Linked DNA regions of Oryctolagus cuniculus. The protein of the gene in region 3 interacts with the protein of the main gene of each other region in a biochemical or structural test. Links are inferred from orthologs where the notes say so. Each region holds a gene or a part of one and is shown on either strand. Other genes may lie near its edges.

Region 1 (3,500 bases), on a different chromosome or scaffold from region 3:
AGACCCAATTGGAGTCCCTGGCTCCTGGCTTCAGCCTGGCTCAGACCTGGCTTTTGGCCATGATGTGGGGAGTAAACTGGAAGAGGGAAGATCCATCTCTGTATCTGCCTCTCTCTGCCACCCTTTCAGGCAAATAAATACATCTTTAAAACAAAAGCAAACAAGAGTGAGCGGAACAGAGAGGAGTAGGGACAGGTGAGCAGGACCCACAAAGGTGGCATTGTGGAGGGGCTGCAGATATTGGTAAGGACGAGGTCTGTGGCCTTGGAGGAGGAAGGCCCCAGAATCACTGGGGACTGAGGAAGAGGAGGTCAGAGCACAGGGAGCCAGGATGTTGGAAGGTTTGACTCTGGCTGTGGATTAAAGCAGCAACACTGGAGGAAGAGGAGGGTGGAGGGGGCTGCAGCGGGAAAGGGCTGTGGGTGCAGTTTAAGGCCGTCAGCTTTGGAACTAGAATATTGTAGAGAAGAGGGAGGGTGGCAGGAACAGGAGGGGCCTTGAGAAGCAAGTCAGACCTTTGTCTCTGTCCAGGCCTAGGAGGCGCTGGTGCAGAAAAAAAAATGCATCAGAGACAGAAGCCAGGGGAGCTTGACCTCTGGGGAGGGCAAAGGTCAGAGGGAGCCAGACTCACTTCATTGTCTGGGGACTGGCAGAGCAGAGGAGTGAAACGTGCCAGGCCTTGGGACCCCCTCTGCTGCCTTCCTCCCGCCAGTGTCTTCCTTCCGCAGCAGCTGTTGTCCTCTGTATACCCCAAGGGCTGTGTGCGTGAATCTGACACAGTCCTGGCCTGTCCAGGTCGCGTGGATGTTGTTGTTATCAGCCCCGTGGTACAGACAGGGAGGCTGCTGCAGGCTCAAGAGACCAGTGGTCGCCATCCAGAGCGAGGGCTTACAGCTTATAGGAGCAGTGCTGGGTGGCGCCATGCTGGGCACTTTCCCTGGCTCCCCAGCTCCCTTTGCCAAGTCCATGGCCTTCCTCCTTTGCTTGGGCAGCACTGGGTCCTAGGGACGCACAGGGGGAGTCGGGGGGAGTTGGGGGAGTCACTACTCCTGGGTGCTTCCCTGGAGCTGTGCTGGGCTTCCGGTCCTCCCACTCCTGCACGCCCAGATGGTCAGAGTCCCGGTTCCCCTTTTTGCTTTTATAAAGCAAGTGTTCTTGACCCGTTACCATGGCCTGCTAGGGGATCCTTAGATGCACTTTGGGTTGGGTGGGCGAGGGGTGGCTCCAGCCTCCTGAAATAGTGTCAGTGACCCTCAGTGAACAGAGCCAGGAGCCCTTCCTGGGACAAGACCCACAGGATGGCTCCAGGACCCCAGGAAGTTTGCGAAGCCCTCCCTGGGCCAGCTCCAGGGTCTCTTCCCACTATCCTGAGCTCTAGTTTCCTCCTCCCATCTGGGGAGTGAGAGGCCCAGGGAGGAGCTGGCCTGGGGTTTCTATGGGGTTGGAGGGGCCTCCCCGACCCAGCGGAGAGGGGAATGATGGCTCTTGACCTTTCTCTTGCAGGTTTCCAAGCCCTGGGATCCCTCAAGTCCAGGCCCTGCATCAGAGCCCGGAGGCTCTGCCAGCCTGGACCTCTCTTCCCCAGCCTCTGCCCCCGGGTCTCCTCGCCTTCCTCCCCACAACGAGGGCTCCCCCTGCCATGCTCTGCTGCCAGAAGCCCAGAGTCCTGCAGCTCCCCACGCTTCCCCCTGCCTCCCTGCAACCCCGGCCTCCCCGAGGGCAGCCCTCCCTAATGAGGGCCCCTGGCATGGCCCTAGCCCGGGACTCCCTAATGAGCATGTCCCAGAGGCCCCTGCACCCAGCAGCCCTCCCCTTGAGGGTGTCTCAGGGTGCCACGGAGTGGAACAGCCCCCACCCATCTCGCTCCAGCCCCCTGTTGAGGGGAGTGAGTTGGTGGATATCACTCGGACTTTCCCGTGTGGGGAGGAGGTAGCGGCCAGGGCTGACCCAGACCCCCGCCCTGTTAGCCTAGCCCAGCGCAGATTCTCTGAGGGGGTGCTCCGGCCATCCGGTGGCGGCCAGGACCAGGAGAAGCTGGGGGGCTCGCTGGCTGCCCTGCCCCAAGGCCAGGGGAGCCAGTCGGCTCTGGATCGTCCCTTTGGGAGTGGGACAGAGTCCAACTGGAGCCTGTCGCAGTCCTTTGAGTGGACATTCCCCACACGGCCCTCGGGCCTGGGGGTGTGGCGGCTGGACTCCCCACCCCCCTCCCCGATCACCGAAGCCAGTGAGGCCGCTGAGGCTGCAGAGGCTGGCACCTGGGCTGCACCCAGCAGGGAGGCAGGGGCAACCCAACAGGGTCCAGGGGCCGGGTCAGCTCCAGGGGGCTCGGGAAGGCCTAGTTCCTGGGTTCAGGGGGAGGATCCAGGCATCTCCCCACCTCCAAAGGGCGATGGGGAGAGTCACCCTCAGTCCCCAGCTGCTCCCCCGGAGCCCCTACCCCCAAGCAGGGGCTCCCCTGAATCACCCTTGCTGCAGGCAGAGGAGCGCTATGAGGAGCGGGAGCCTGTGGCTGGACAGGAGTGCCCCCTCCCCCTGGCCACCAGAGAGGAAGCCCTGCCCGTGCTGGAGCCGGTCCTGGGGCAGCAGCAGTCAGCACCCCCTGACCAGCCCTGTGTCCTCTTTGCTGATGTCCCTGACCCTGGGCATGCGATGCCTGCCGAGGAGGAGACCCTGAGCTTGGCCCGGGCTGAGACCACGCAACCCAGGACAGAGGCACCAGACCCCTGTCGAGTGTCGCCGGAGCCCACAGGTCCTGAAGGCGGCTCTCGCTGGCTAGATGACCTCCTGGCTTCCCCACCACCCAGTGCCGGCAGCACGAGGCGGGGAGCTGGAGCGGAGCCAAAGGATGTCCAGTCACAGAGTACCCGCTCTGAGGTGAGGGCAGGGGCATGGGGAGGTGGGGCCTTGGGATAGAGTTGGGAGCGGGGCAGCTCTGGACCTGCACCCTTAGCCCTGTGATGTGGTGAAGCTGGCAGAGTTGTACAAGACTGTGTGTAGGATTTAGAGTGAGTGCAAGTCCTGATGCCAGCAGTCTTGGGAGTGTACCTTAACCTCCAAGCTTCAGAGTCTGTTCATGACAGTAGCGTTTGCCCCTGAGACTTGTACTGCAGGTCACATGAGATGGGAAGGGCGCTTGGTACAATGCATGGCCTAAGTGTCCCTTCCATCATTACCAGGAATGTTCTGCAAGGCCAGACAGCGTAGCCATTCTGAGTGTGGGCTCTGGAACCTGATGGTATAGCTTTGTCACTTGGCTCTGCTATTTCTTTGTCCAGTACCTTGACTAGGTTGCTTTTTTGCCCTCTGCCTCAGTTTCCGCATCTGTAAAATGGGGATAGCAGGTGAGTTGTGGCTCAGAGGGTGATGGTGAGGGTGAAAAGAGTTATGATGTATGAAGTACTGAGGATCCCGCTGGGCTCATCATAAGTGCTTTAGTAAGTATTCATTGATGTTACTATTATTGATCTTAAGGCCTGCTGTGTAGACTGGCAGCCGAAGCC
Region 2 (3,500 bases), on a different chromosome or scaffold from region 3:
GGCCTAGGCTGGAACCAGGAGCCAGGAGCTCCATCCAGGTCTCCCACGGGGATGGTAGGGGCCTGTGCACTTGGGCCATCTTCCGCTGCTTGTCTCAAGCACGTTAGCAAGAAGCTAGATTGGAAATGGAGCAGCTGGGACTTGAACCAGTGCTCGTATGGCATGCTAGCATGGCAGACACAGCCTGACCCAATGTGCCACAACACCAGTCCCTGTTCTGCCTTTCAAAGAAAAAAGAAAGGAAAGGAAAGATGGGACATGTTGGGGCTGGCGCTGTGGCGCAGCGGGTTAAAGCCCTGGCCTGAAGCACCAGTAACCCATATGGGTGCCGGTTCGAGTCCCGGCTGCTCCTCTTCGATCCAGCTCTCTGCTGTGGCCTGGGAAAGCAGTGGAGGATGGCCCAGGTCCTTGGGCGCCTGCACAAGAATGATTGGGAAATCTGATTTTCGTGTATCCAAAATCAACATAAACAAAAAGAAAGGTAACATTAAGGGAGAAAATGCTTTTTGAATAAATAACCAGAAATTACTAATAAAAATATTTATTTATTTGAAAGAGTTACACAGAGAAAAGGAGAGGTGCAGAGAGAGAGGTCTTCCCTCTGCTCGTTCACTCCCCAGTGGCTGCCACGGCTGGAGCCGCACCAGTCCAAAGCCAGGAGCCAGGAGCTTCTTCCGGTCTCCCATGTGGGTGCAGGGGCCCAAGGACTTGGGCCATCTTCTACTGCTTTCCCAGGCCACAGCAGAGAGCTGGATCAGAAATGGAGCAGCCAGGATTCGAACCAGTGCCTGGATGGGATGCGGTGGCTTTACCCACTACGCCACAGCACTGGCCTCAGTAATAAGAACATTTAAATACTTAAATCAGTCTCCAGGACCCCTGAACCACCCAGCAGGAAATGGACAGGAAAGAAAGGCGTTTGCCCTCACAGTTAGGGTGCTTGTGTCCCCTCCTGACTCAGATTCTTGCTAACGTGCACCCTGCGGGGCAGCCGTGGTGGCTTAAGTAATTGGGGCCCTGCCCCCACGTGGGAGACTGGGGTGGGGTTCTGGGCTCCTGGCTTCAGGCTGGTCTAGCCCCAGCTGTTTGCAGGCATGTAGGCAGTGAATCATTAGATGGGAGCTAATAAGAAACAGAAAAGAAAACGGACAAGTGGTGTGAACAGGTAAAGAGGAAGAACTGACTCTACCTGCTGATCAGAATTAGGGTTAAGAGTGCACTTCCCAGCTGCTCGTGCGACAGCGAGAGTTACGGAGCCCTCCGGGGAGTGTGCGCCAGCGTAAGGGTGGGTGGGTGGGGCCCAGCTGGCGCCTGGCTCCGGCCTCACTGATCCCTGTGTGTGCTGCCCGGAGTGCTGGCCAGGAGTCTGGTCCCAGGTGGCAGCCAGCAGCAGGGCTCACGGACCACCTCCAGGGGCAGAACTGTGTCCCCAGCCCAGACGACTGTGAACCTGCACTTGGACATCTGGCTGAAAGCTGAGGAAAGACCTGGAGAGGTGCCCGCCCCTCCGGGAAGGGCCGGGTGAGGGAGGAGCAATGGTGATCTTGGCTTTCGCTGCTCCTTTTTCTGAGTTGCTTGCATTTTAGCTCATGTATTAAAACATGCAGACGAGTCTGAAAGTGGATTAGCTTAAGAGGCATTGCCACTCACATGACTTCCTGTTTGCAGATACGGGTCCTGGCGGGAGCCTGTCAACCCCTACTACGTCAACTCTGGCTACGCCCTGGCCCCAGCTACCAGTGCCAATGACAGCGAGCAGCAGAGCCTGTCCAGCGACGCCGACACCCTGTCCCTCACAGACAGCAGCGTGTAAGTCGTGCCCTTCCTGGGGAGAAAGTGCGGCCCGCTCAGCACGAGGGCTTGCCTCACCTCTGGTGCCTCCCACAGCACTGCCTTGGCCTGGATTCACGGCAGAAGTTCCCTGGGTCCCTCAGAATTTGGTGCACTGGGGATGCAGACAACTGCGTGTTCAATGGGCCCCTGAAACCCTGACCCAGGCTAGAGCCGAGCCTGCGGTAGACACACTGCAGAGCCGTGCAGACCCAGCACAGGTTCAGGTTGGTGATGAGAAGGGCCACTGCCCACCAGGTGGCGGTGACGGAGAGGCGCTCCCTGCAAGGCTCCTTGCTGCCGTCACCTGTGCTGGCAACCTGTTCTGCACTGGCTCATGTCAGGCGAACAGCTGGGGCAGGGCAGAGAACAGACGGAACAGCTGTGCTGTGCCGGGCCAGGTGCGTGCAGGGCTCAGGGAAGCCTGGTGCGTGCAGGGCTCAGGGAAGCCTGGTGCCTCCAGGGCTCAGGGAAGCCTGGTGCGTGCAGGGCTCAGGGAAGCCTGGTGCGTGCAGGGCTCAGGGAAGCCTGGTGCCTCCAGGGCTCAGGGAAGCCTGGTGCGTGCAGGTCCCCTGCTGCTGTGATGACGAGAGTGAGCTTACGCTTCCGGGAGCCCCCTTCACAGGTGTGATTGTCTCGTGCCCTGGTCTTCTGTGCGTGCAGACGGGACAGTGTAAATGCTCGGGCTGCGGGGCCGCTGTCTGTCCTGGTGGGGTCAGGTGGGCTCGGGCTGCGGGGCCACTGTCTGTCCTGGTGGGGTCAGGTGGGCTCGGGCTGTGGGGCCGCTGTCTGTCCTGGTGGGGTCAGGTGGGCTCGGGCTGCAGGGCCACTGTCTGTGCTGGTGGGGTCAGGTGGGCTCGGGCTGCGGGGCTGCTGTCTGTCCTGGTGGGGTCAGGTGGGCTCGGGCTGTGGGGCCGCTGTCTGTCCTGGTGGGGTCAGGTGGGCTCGGGCTGCGGGGCCGCTGTCTGTCCTGGTGGGGTCACGTGGGCTTGGGCTGTGGGGCCACTGTCTGTGCTGGTGGGGTCAGGTGGGCTCGGGCTGCGGGGCTGCTGTCTGTCCTGGTGGGGTCAGGTGGGCTCGGGCTGCAGGGCCGCTGTCTGTCCTGGTGGGGTCACGTGGAGTCACGTGGGCTCGGGCTGCGGGGCCACTGTCTGTCCTGGTGGGGTCAGGTGGGCTCGGGCTGCGGGGCCACTGTCTGTCCTGGTGGGGTCAGGTGGGTCGTGGTCACCCAGGAGCTGTGAGCCTGCTCAGCTTGCCAGGGCTGGGACTGAGCCAGGGCCCCCAGGTTCCCCTCCAGGGTCACAAGAAGCCTTTGGCCGTGGCTGCTGATGTGGTGTGAGTTGCGGCCACCATCTTGGTGGCTTCACTTGGAACCACTCAGGCCTGCCCACCGGGGCTCCTGGCCGCACCCACGGGCTGTGTGGTCATCGGGACGCCTCCCCTGCCCCACTTAATTCTTGTGTTCGATGTTGGAGTCAGAAAGATTTGAGGGAGACGGGGCAGGGCTTCTTCCCTGCTGAAGGATCCCACTTCATCTTTTGGTGAATGTGTTTTTGAGGTGTGTGTTTGTTTGTTCTCTTTATTTGAGAGTGGAGAGAGACGGAGAGCCCCTGTGGGCTGGTTCACTCCCCAAATGCCCACGATGATCAAGGCCAAATTTGGGAGCAGGA
Region 3 (4,258 bases):
GTAAAACTCTAGAACAAAATTAAAAGTAACTCATTGCAGACAGAAGACGATTTGGAAGACGAGCTCTATTTTAAGTGTGACTAGCCCTAAGTTTTAATCCTAAATATACTAATATACAAATAAATAAAACTAATTACATTTGTTAGTGATTACTTATAAGGAAGTCAAATGGAAGTAAAATTAGAAATGCTAAAATTTGTGAAGCAATGTTAAAATAATCAGATTTGGAATAAAGTATGGGAAAGAACAAATCTGGGTTGACTTTTTAAATCAGATGGAGCTTTCATTTAGCGTGAAGACAGAGCAATGGTATCTCATTTAAAACAAGCAAGACCCTCGAAGGAGTACCTAGTTGGATGCAAGCCTGTTTATGATTCGCTTCACTGCACTCCTGAGAGCAGTGTCGATGTATGAAGAATGGATCGTGATCTAATAACGATTTCCTGTATTTCCCACACCACTGGTCAGGACCCACCTAATGGATCACAAGCAGTAGTTGCTAAAAATGAAATGAAATAGAATACAACGTAAAATATCAGAGCATAGCACATGTAGTAAGGGGAAGTACAGTTTCATGAAACTTTGTGTGTATTTCTAAGTATGGACTGCAATTTAAAAAAATAGTGAAAGTTACTCTTACATGTAAGCTCACTATTACTTCTCTTCCTAATAGATCACGAAAATCAGAAAACCTGCACTATAATTACTCACAAAATGAAAAGTGACTTTAAATCAGGGACAGTGTATGCTCATTAAAGCTTGATTTCACAAGTTCTAGAACCCAAGTGCTTGAACTTAAGGTTCAACCACCTCCTGAGTGAATGCAAATTTAAACAAGATGTGCTACATGTTTAATACCTGTAAAATGAGGATAATATTATTTCCCAAATTGTGGTAAGAATGAATAATACAGTGAGATCTTTACATGTTTACTATTAACAGAACAAATTGAAGGAGTGACTTATATCAGAAATGTAGCAAGAAACTTAACAGAGGGTATCTTTGGTGTGTTAGCTTTGATGTTTCTGTGTGGGGGTGGTGTTTTTCATTGTATATCTTTCTGTCCTACTTGGATTTTGTAATGTGTTTTTAAGGTGTATAATTTCAGTGTAATATTTCTGATGTTTAATTTTTTGTCTTTGTTCTATATGTCCCTGTAATTTATAAAAATATATTAAGTGTTTTTAAAAGAAAATAATCAACAACTTGCTAAACAAGAGAGAGAGAGAGAAGAAGGAGGACGAAGGAAGGGAGGGAGAGAGGGAGGGAGAGGCAGATAAAGTGCAGTACCCAGAGTTAGGAGTTCCCACTTTTTTCCTAGATGTCATATGCCGCATACTCCTTACTAGATCTTCAAATAACCTTAATCTGTTTTTGCCCATGAGATTTAAGGTAAACGGCCTGCTAGACAAATAACAAAACTTCAAAGCCTGTATTTCTTCCATTGTCACATAATGCATCCAAATATTTTTCTCCCAGTTGTTTCATGCAGGCATATTCTGGTCTCAACTGTACAGCAAACTTCTTCAAAAGAGGGAGGTGCCAAAACTTCGGTTATGTCTTTTATTAATGTATTTTACGAAGATCAACAGGAAAAATCTGTAAACGCCTGCGGAGTTACATTAAACTTCTTCCGATCTAGACCGTCCTCAAGGGACAGACCCTTATTCTGAAAACAAACTGGCCACAGCGACGACAAAGCGACTCCAAAGCCGCCCAAATCTTAACTTTATTCCTGTACACTCGGAACGAAAAAGTTTAAGTACTTCCAACTATCCCGCGCCTGCGACTACAGGGAGTCTCGTTAGAGGTATCAGTTTGCAAACAGTAAAGAACGGACTCACACCTCCCCTCCCACACCCCTGGCACCCAGGCGCTCCCTAAAGAAAGGAACCTCTGGTCTTCCGGCGAAGAGTGGACCGGCCGTGGCCACGCCCCCACTTCGCCCCATCATAATTACCTGTTTTTTCATAGCCGGACCCCCGGCCCTGACCCCGGTACCATTAATAAGTAATTCAAAAGTCTGACCTGCAGCGAAGTGCAGGGGAGAAGACTTCCGGCCGGCCATGTCCTTTGCATTGACGTTTGCCGCGTCCACCAGCCTCTTTACCCTGGACACGTCCCCATTGCGACAGGCCTCCAGCAGTTCCCGTAGGGCCCCACTCACTGCTGGGACCCCTGTCCCAGGTCCCGCTGCCCCAGGTCCCAGTGTCGCTGTGTTGCTAACTCCGGCTGCCTCGGGGCTCTCCGCCAAGCTCGATCCAGGGGAGGAAGGAGAGGAAGAGGAGGAATACGTCGGGGAAGAAGAGGACGACGGTGAATTGTTACTGCCACCGCCGGCTGGATTGGGAGCGACCCCGACGGCAGACGAAGCAGAAGCCGCCGGGACCGCGGCCGCAGCGGCGACGGTACAGATTGTGCTGGTGGTGCTGCAACAGCTGGTACTGTCAAGTGGGTCCGGGGATTGGGGCCTGTCGGGCGGATCCCGACTTCCATCCCCCTCCGGCAGCGCTAGGCCGTGCCGCGGGGAAGCGAAGGGGGCCAGGCCACCGGCCGTTGGGGAGGCTGGGGTGGTCGCTGGGGCCAGGCCGGGACTGAGAGGTGGGGGAGGTGGCGGCGGCGGCGCCGAAGCCCCTGGGGCGGGCTGGAGCTGTTGTTGATGATGGTGGTGATGATGCTGAGAGCGACGCGACGCCGCCATCTTCGGACACCCCCAGCTCTGTCACTGCGGCAACGGCCCCACCGCCCGCCCTCACTTCCGACCTCTGGGCCAATCAGCAGTCAGCGCACAGGAACTGATGCTTGGCGGGGTGGGCGGGTCAAAGAGAAAGAGGGAAGTATTGGGAGCTCTGAGAACTTCGGAGGCGGAGGGCGTGGCTTCGTGACTGAGGGGCGGGCTTTGTGACGACCCGGCGGGCCGGCGAAGAGATTTGAACGCTGGAACCAGGTTCTCCCTGCATTTCCCACCTTCCGCCTGCTTGCCTTGCCTTGCTCAGTTCCGTGCCCTAGTCTCCTAGAGCCTTCCTTGTGTTGCTCCAGAGTCAGCAACTGAGGCGCAATTCGGTGCAAGCAGAGAATGTTTTTCATCATCAGGTCCCACCTCACAGAATCGCCTGCAGGATTAAATGAGCTGATATAGACAAAATGCTCCGATTGTCAGTAATATGTAGCTGTCATCAGCCCACTGGTAATTTTTTAAAGCGGTCTTTCTTCCCCAGTTATTCCCTTGGTCTCTTGTTCCTTCCCTACAAGGTTGTTTTTGTTTTTGTTTAAGATTGATTTATTTATTTGAGAGGGAGAGTTACAGACAGACAGAAAGGTCCTCCATCCATTGGTTCACAGCCTAAATGGCTGCAAGACCTGGAGTTGGGCTGATCCGAAGCCAGGAGCCAGGAGCTTCTTCCAGGTCTCCCACAAGGGTGCAGGGGCCCAAGGACTTGGGCCATCTGCCATAGCAGAAAGCTGGATGGGAAGTGGAGCAGCAGGGACTCTAACCCACGCCCGTATGGGATGCCGGCACTGCAGGTGGCAGCTTTACCTGCTATGCCGCAGGACTGGCCTGACCCCTACAAGTTTTCCCACTCTATGTGTGTACTTTGTTAACCTAACATTTTTAACTGGTGGTTCAGATTGCCAGGACCGGAATTCAAGCTCTGGCATTTACTAACGGTGTAAATTCGGGCAGACTCTAAACAACCAAGCACTCCGTCTTGCAGTGCCCCCTCTGTAAAATCGGAATAACAATAATTCCATAAGTGCTAAGTATTAAAATTATGATTTTTCCTCTTCTATTACCTCTGTACTTTTATTTCCTACAGCAAATTTGACTATTTATGAAAGTTATTTTTTAGCTTGGCCTCTCTTCCCTTCCATTACTCTCACCCCACCCCTCTCTCCCCCTCAAACTAAGATGAAAACCTGACCGCTGTCCCTCACACACCTTCATAAATGCAACTTTTCGGTAACTATGTTTTCATTCTCCTGCCTATACCTACTTTTTCCATTGGCCATCAAAAGAGACGTACCCATGAATGGGATAGCCTCCTGGAGATCTCCATCTCACACTGCTTGTTCCGTGGTGAAGCAGGGATCGTGGAAGTAGACACAAACTGCATTATTCCAGTAGAGTGGGCACAGATGGGAAGTCCATGTCCTAAGAAAAAAAGCAAAGTTCAGATAGATCAAGCAGAATATTAAACCAGGAGAAAAATAGTTATTTCATGTGTCCATTGTTAAATATAATTAGTGTAATATTAAT
Region 4 (3,500 bases), on a different chromosome or scaffold from region 3:
AGTTTCCTCAATGGAGGTGTCCGGTACCCTGCCTGAAGACGGTGATTCATGATCTTCTTCGCCTTCCCCTCTGTGACTCCTTTCAGCTATGTTGTCTCCACTGAGCTGTAAATGAGCAAAAGAGTCTTCCAAAGAGGTGCTTGCATCAGGAGATGGTGTTGCAGGGCTTGTTAACTGCCCATCTACTGATGTTAGAGGCCTTACAGAAGACGCCACTGGAGGCTGAACAGAAGCTCCGCTCTGTGCTGATACGCTGTCCGCTCCATCGGCAGAGCTCTCTCGTGCTAGGTTTACGGCACTAGTGTCACAGTCCAGCCTAAGTCCAGCTACTCCCTTCTTTGGTATATCTATTATATCTCGCTTAATCTTCCTACGACGTCCATGTTCATTTCTCCTATATTGAACCATATTTTCAAGATCAGCAACATACAGAAACCCAGCAATTAACATTTCAGTGTTCTTTTTACCTTTGGAAAAAGCATCTTCCAGCTCTCTACTAGTACGCTCATCATACTGCCACCACCCATTTCTTCCTTCATAATACCATGCATATTCACCATTTCCTCTACTTGCTGCCTTGAGTTCCTCTGGTGACAACAAAGTTGGCTTGTCAAGGAAATCCTCAGGAATTTCTTGTCGACAAAGAGCACATCGTTTTCCAAGCCATGAAGCTCCCTTTACACACAGATAGCAGAAAACATGTTTACAGGGCAGACTGACTGGGTGAACACAAGTTTGAAGACAAATGGCACATTCAGGGACGGTGAGAGAAGGTGCGGTATTAGAACAGGACTCATTTGCTTTCTTGTTCGTAGGAAGCATGTTTATTGAGTGATCAATTTCACCACAGCCAGCCATCCTAAGAAAATGAGAAAAAAAAAATGTAATTGTGTTTAAACTTTCCTAAAGCACTTTCCAGAAAGCACTTATTAAGCATACATTATATGCAAGCCACATACTAAACAATGGGGATACAAAGATGAAAATAAGAAGAAAACTCCATTTATATACAAAATCTTTTTGATTTTTGCTATCAGTTTTAACTGCAGGGGACAATGAGGTACATAAATGTTAAACCAAACTGAAACAATCCCATTTTATATATATATATATATATATATATACACACACACACACACACACATCCCTGTATATATGATATATATATATATATATATATATACACACACACACATATATATACATATATATATGTCTAGAGCACAGATTTTAAATACACTATTTCCATCTGGACACAGAATACATCAGAACTAAATGCAAAGATTTAGAAATATAAACAATCTGTCCTAAATTGACTTTACAGTCAATCTGAAAGGTAGTTAGACAAACAAAACAGCAAATTCAGAGTACAACTGCAAAAACCAATTCTGGAGACAGGATATTAGTGTGGCTATTTTATAAATTTTGCCATATATTTATATATCTGGGGTATTAAACAAGCAGATAAATATGAAATTTAGATGAAAGCCTTAGACATTCCCTGCCCCTGCATGTATCTAAAACTATTGCTTGAACCAGTCATTTCTGCCATACTTTTGACCAGCTCCTCTCTCTGAAATGGAGAGTTGGGGGGTTGCGTTTGTCTGTTTTCTAAAGCATGTGTTATCAATGTACTCTTTGAGATGATCTCATCTGTACTCATGGATCAGCTATTGCCAAGGTGGAAATCACACACACATTGCTATCACTTGCCCAGACCTCTCCTTTCAGTCATAAATCTGTATTTTCAATTACCTATATTAGATCTTACAAAAACTGTAATCATCTGTTCCTTCTTTTTTGCTCAATAAAAATCCCATGGTAATACCACTATCCATAAAGCTTATGCTACCCAAAAACCCAACCTAGAAACTGCCCTTCTCCTATCCCTCCCTACACAAAACATCAGCAAGTCCTATCAGTTGTATCTCCTGAATCCATCTACTATTCATCACCTTTCCCTGGCTACCAAGCATTGTTTACTGAATTACTGCATACACTGTTTAATTGGTACAGCCATATCTGTTGCTTAAAAATTTGATTTTAGGATACAGACCAGTCTCTAACAGGGCTCTATAGATTCCCCATGATCTGGGCCCCACCTCCCATTGCAACCTCCATCTCCTATCAAACATCCATTAGACTTCTAAGCACACTGACTACTTCCTACCAATCATAGGTTTTCTCTATATAAACAGTCCCTCCTCATCTCCTGCCTTTCATAAGCTACTACCCATCTCCGATCCCTTTGAGAAAGCCTCCATGAGGAAGTCAGATCATGCTACTAATTCGTTACTACCATGCACTCCTCATTCCTTATCAGAACTGCAATGTTACATTTATTTGTGTGGTTATTTTGTTAATGTCAGTCTTCCCCACAAGCTGGTGTGCTTTGTAAGGGCAGGAACAGGTCATTTTTGGCTCACTGCTCTATTTGCATACGGGATCTGGCAGATAGAGAACATTCAAATATTTGCTTTAAAAAAATGTTTTTTTTTCAAACAATAACATGAACACATCATGGTATCATAAAATTGGTATTTTTATTTTACTTTAAATAATATTAAGTGAAACCACCTGATATAAGCATTTACTTATATATACTTTGGGAATATATAAAAATTCTGCCAGTGGACTTACAGATCAGCCCTGAAGCAGCACACTGAAATACTATATAATGAGAAGCTGTAGTCAGCCATGAGAGAAAGGGTAACTTGAATTAAGGAAGCTGCTACACTGTGAAATCAACACTAGACAAGAAAACTAAAAACCTGTGTCTTAATCTTCTTTGTTAATTATGTGCTCTTTGGGACTCAGTTAAACCTTTAAACCTTTAAACTTCCTTACCTGCCAACCAGAATTTACAAAGTTTAACTCACTAAAGCTCCAAAAGATTACAATCTATAGAAGACCAGGGGAGAAAATGACATGAATATCAAAGGTGCCCTGAAGAAGAGGGAAAAAGAAAGAAAAGCACGATTTGTCAAATTAAGTATTGATTAAACACACTGACATAAAATTTGGAATTTCTACTTTATCAAATCAGATCCCTACCATAGTTCATACACAATACGAGTATTCGATGGCTCTAAAAATCAATCAGCCACGCACTTGGTCTATTAAGGAAATATACATGCAAACAATCATAATATGCACAATATTCCTGCAGTAATCAAAATGTATCATAACAAAAGAGATGACAATGTTTGCGATGCTGAGAGGCTTTGGAAGTGGAGACTTCAGAGACATGTGCAAAGCACTGAGCCACATAAACAAGAGGATAGCAGGAGATGAAGCTGTAAATCAGAGGCCGAATCATAAAAGCCTTATTGTGCCCTGCTAAAGAAATATGTGGCTTGACTTTTATCACATAGTTACAGGAAACAATAGCTATTTTAAAACAGGAAAAAATGACACAGGGTGTAGCCCAGAGACAAATAAGACTGATTAATGGAAGTAAAGATATCAGAGATTCAAAACCACTAACTGATGCTTAAAAT

The links. The genes of interacting proteins can lie anywhere in the genome.
Region 1: the proteins of TNKS (region 3) and TNKS1BP1 form a complex in vitro, tested with the Homo sapiens proteins (2 studies listed by BioGRID). The link is inferred for Oryctolagus cuniculus from reciprocal best matches to the Homo sapiens genes TNKS and TNKS1BP1.
Region 2: the proteins of TNKS (region 3) and AXIN1 form a complex in vitro, tested with the Homo sapiens proteins (2 studies listed by BioGRID). The link is inferred for Oryctolagus cuniculus from reciprocal best matches to the Homo sapiens genes TNKS and AXIN1.
Region 4: the proteins of TNKS (region 3) and RNF146 form a complex in vitro, tested with the Homo sapiens proteins (3 studies listed by BioGRID and IntAct, with this or other methods). The link is inferred for Oryctolagus cuniculus from reciprocal best matches to the Homo sapiens genes TNKS and RNF146.

What each region holds. Positions count from the first base shown.
Region 1 is NC_091432.1:14,805,518-14,809,017, forward strand, and holds part of TNKS1BP1 (182 kDa tankyrase-1-binding protein), read left to right. Parts: intron 1-1,503; coding exon 1,504-2,874; intron 2,875-3,500.
Region 2 is NC_091450.1:34,321,523-34,325,022, forward strand, and holds part of AXIN1 (axin-1), read left to right. Parts: intron 1-1,668; coding exon 1,669-1,809; intron 1,810-3,500. UniProt on the Homo sapiens protein: Component of the beta-catenin destruction complex required for regulating CTNNB1 levels through phosphorylation and ubiquitination, and modulating Wnt-signaling.
Region 3 is NC_091433.1:79,202,678-79,206,935, reverse strand, and holds the start of TNKS (poly [ADP-ribose] polymerase tankyrase-1), read right to left. Parts: upstream 2,801-4,258; 5' UTR 2,702-2,800; coding exon 2,029-2,701; intron 1-2,028.
Region 4 is NC_091436.1:42,353,579-42,357,078, forward strand, and holds part of RNF146 (E3 ubiquitin-protein ligase RNF146), read right to left. Parts: intron 860-3,500; coding exon 1-859. UniProt on the Homo sapiens protein: E3 ubiquitin-protein ligase that specifically binds poly-ADP-ribosylated (PARsylated) proteins and mediates their ubiquitination and subsequent degradation. May regulate many important biological processes, such as cell survival and DNA damage response.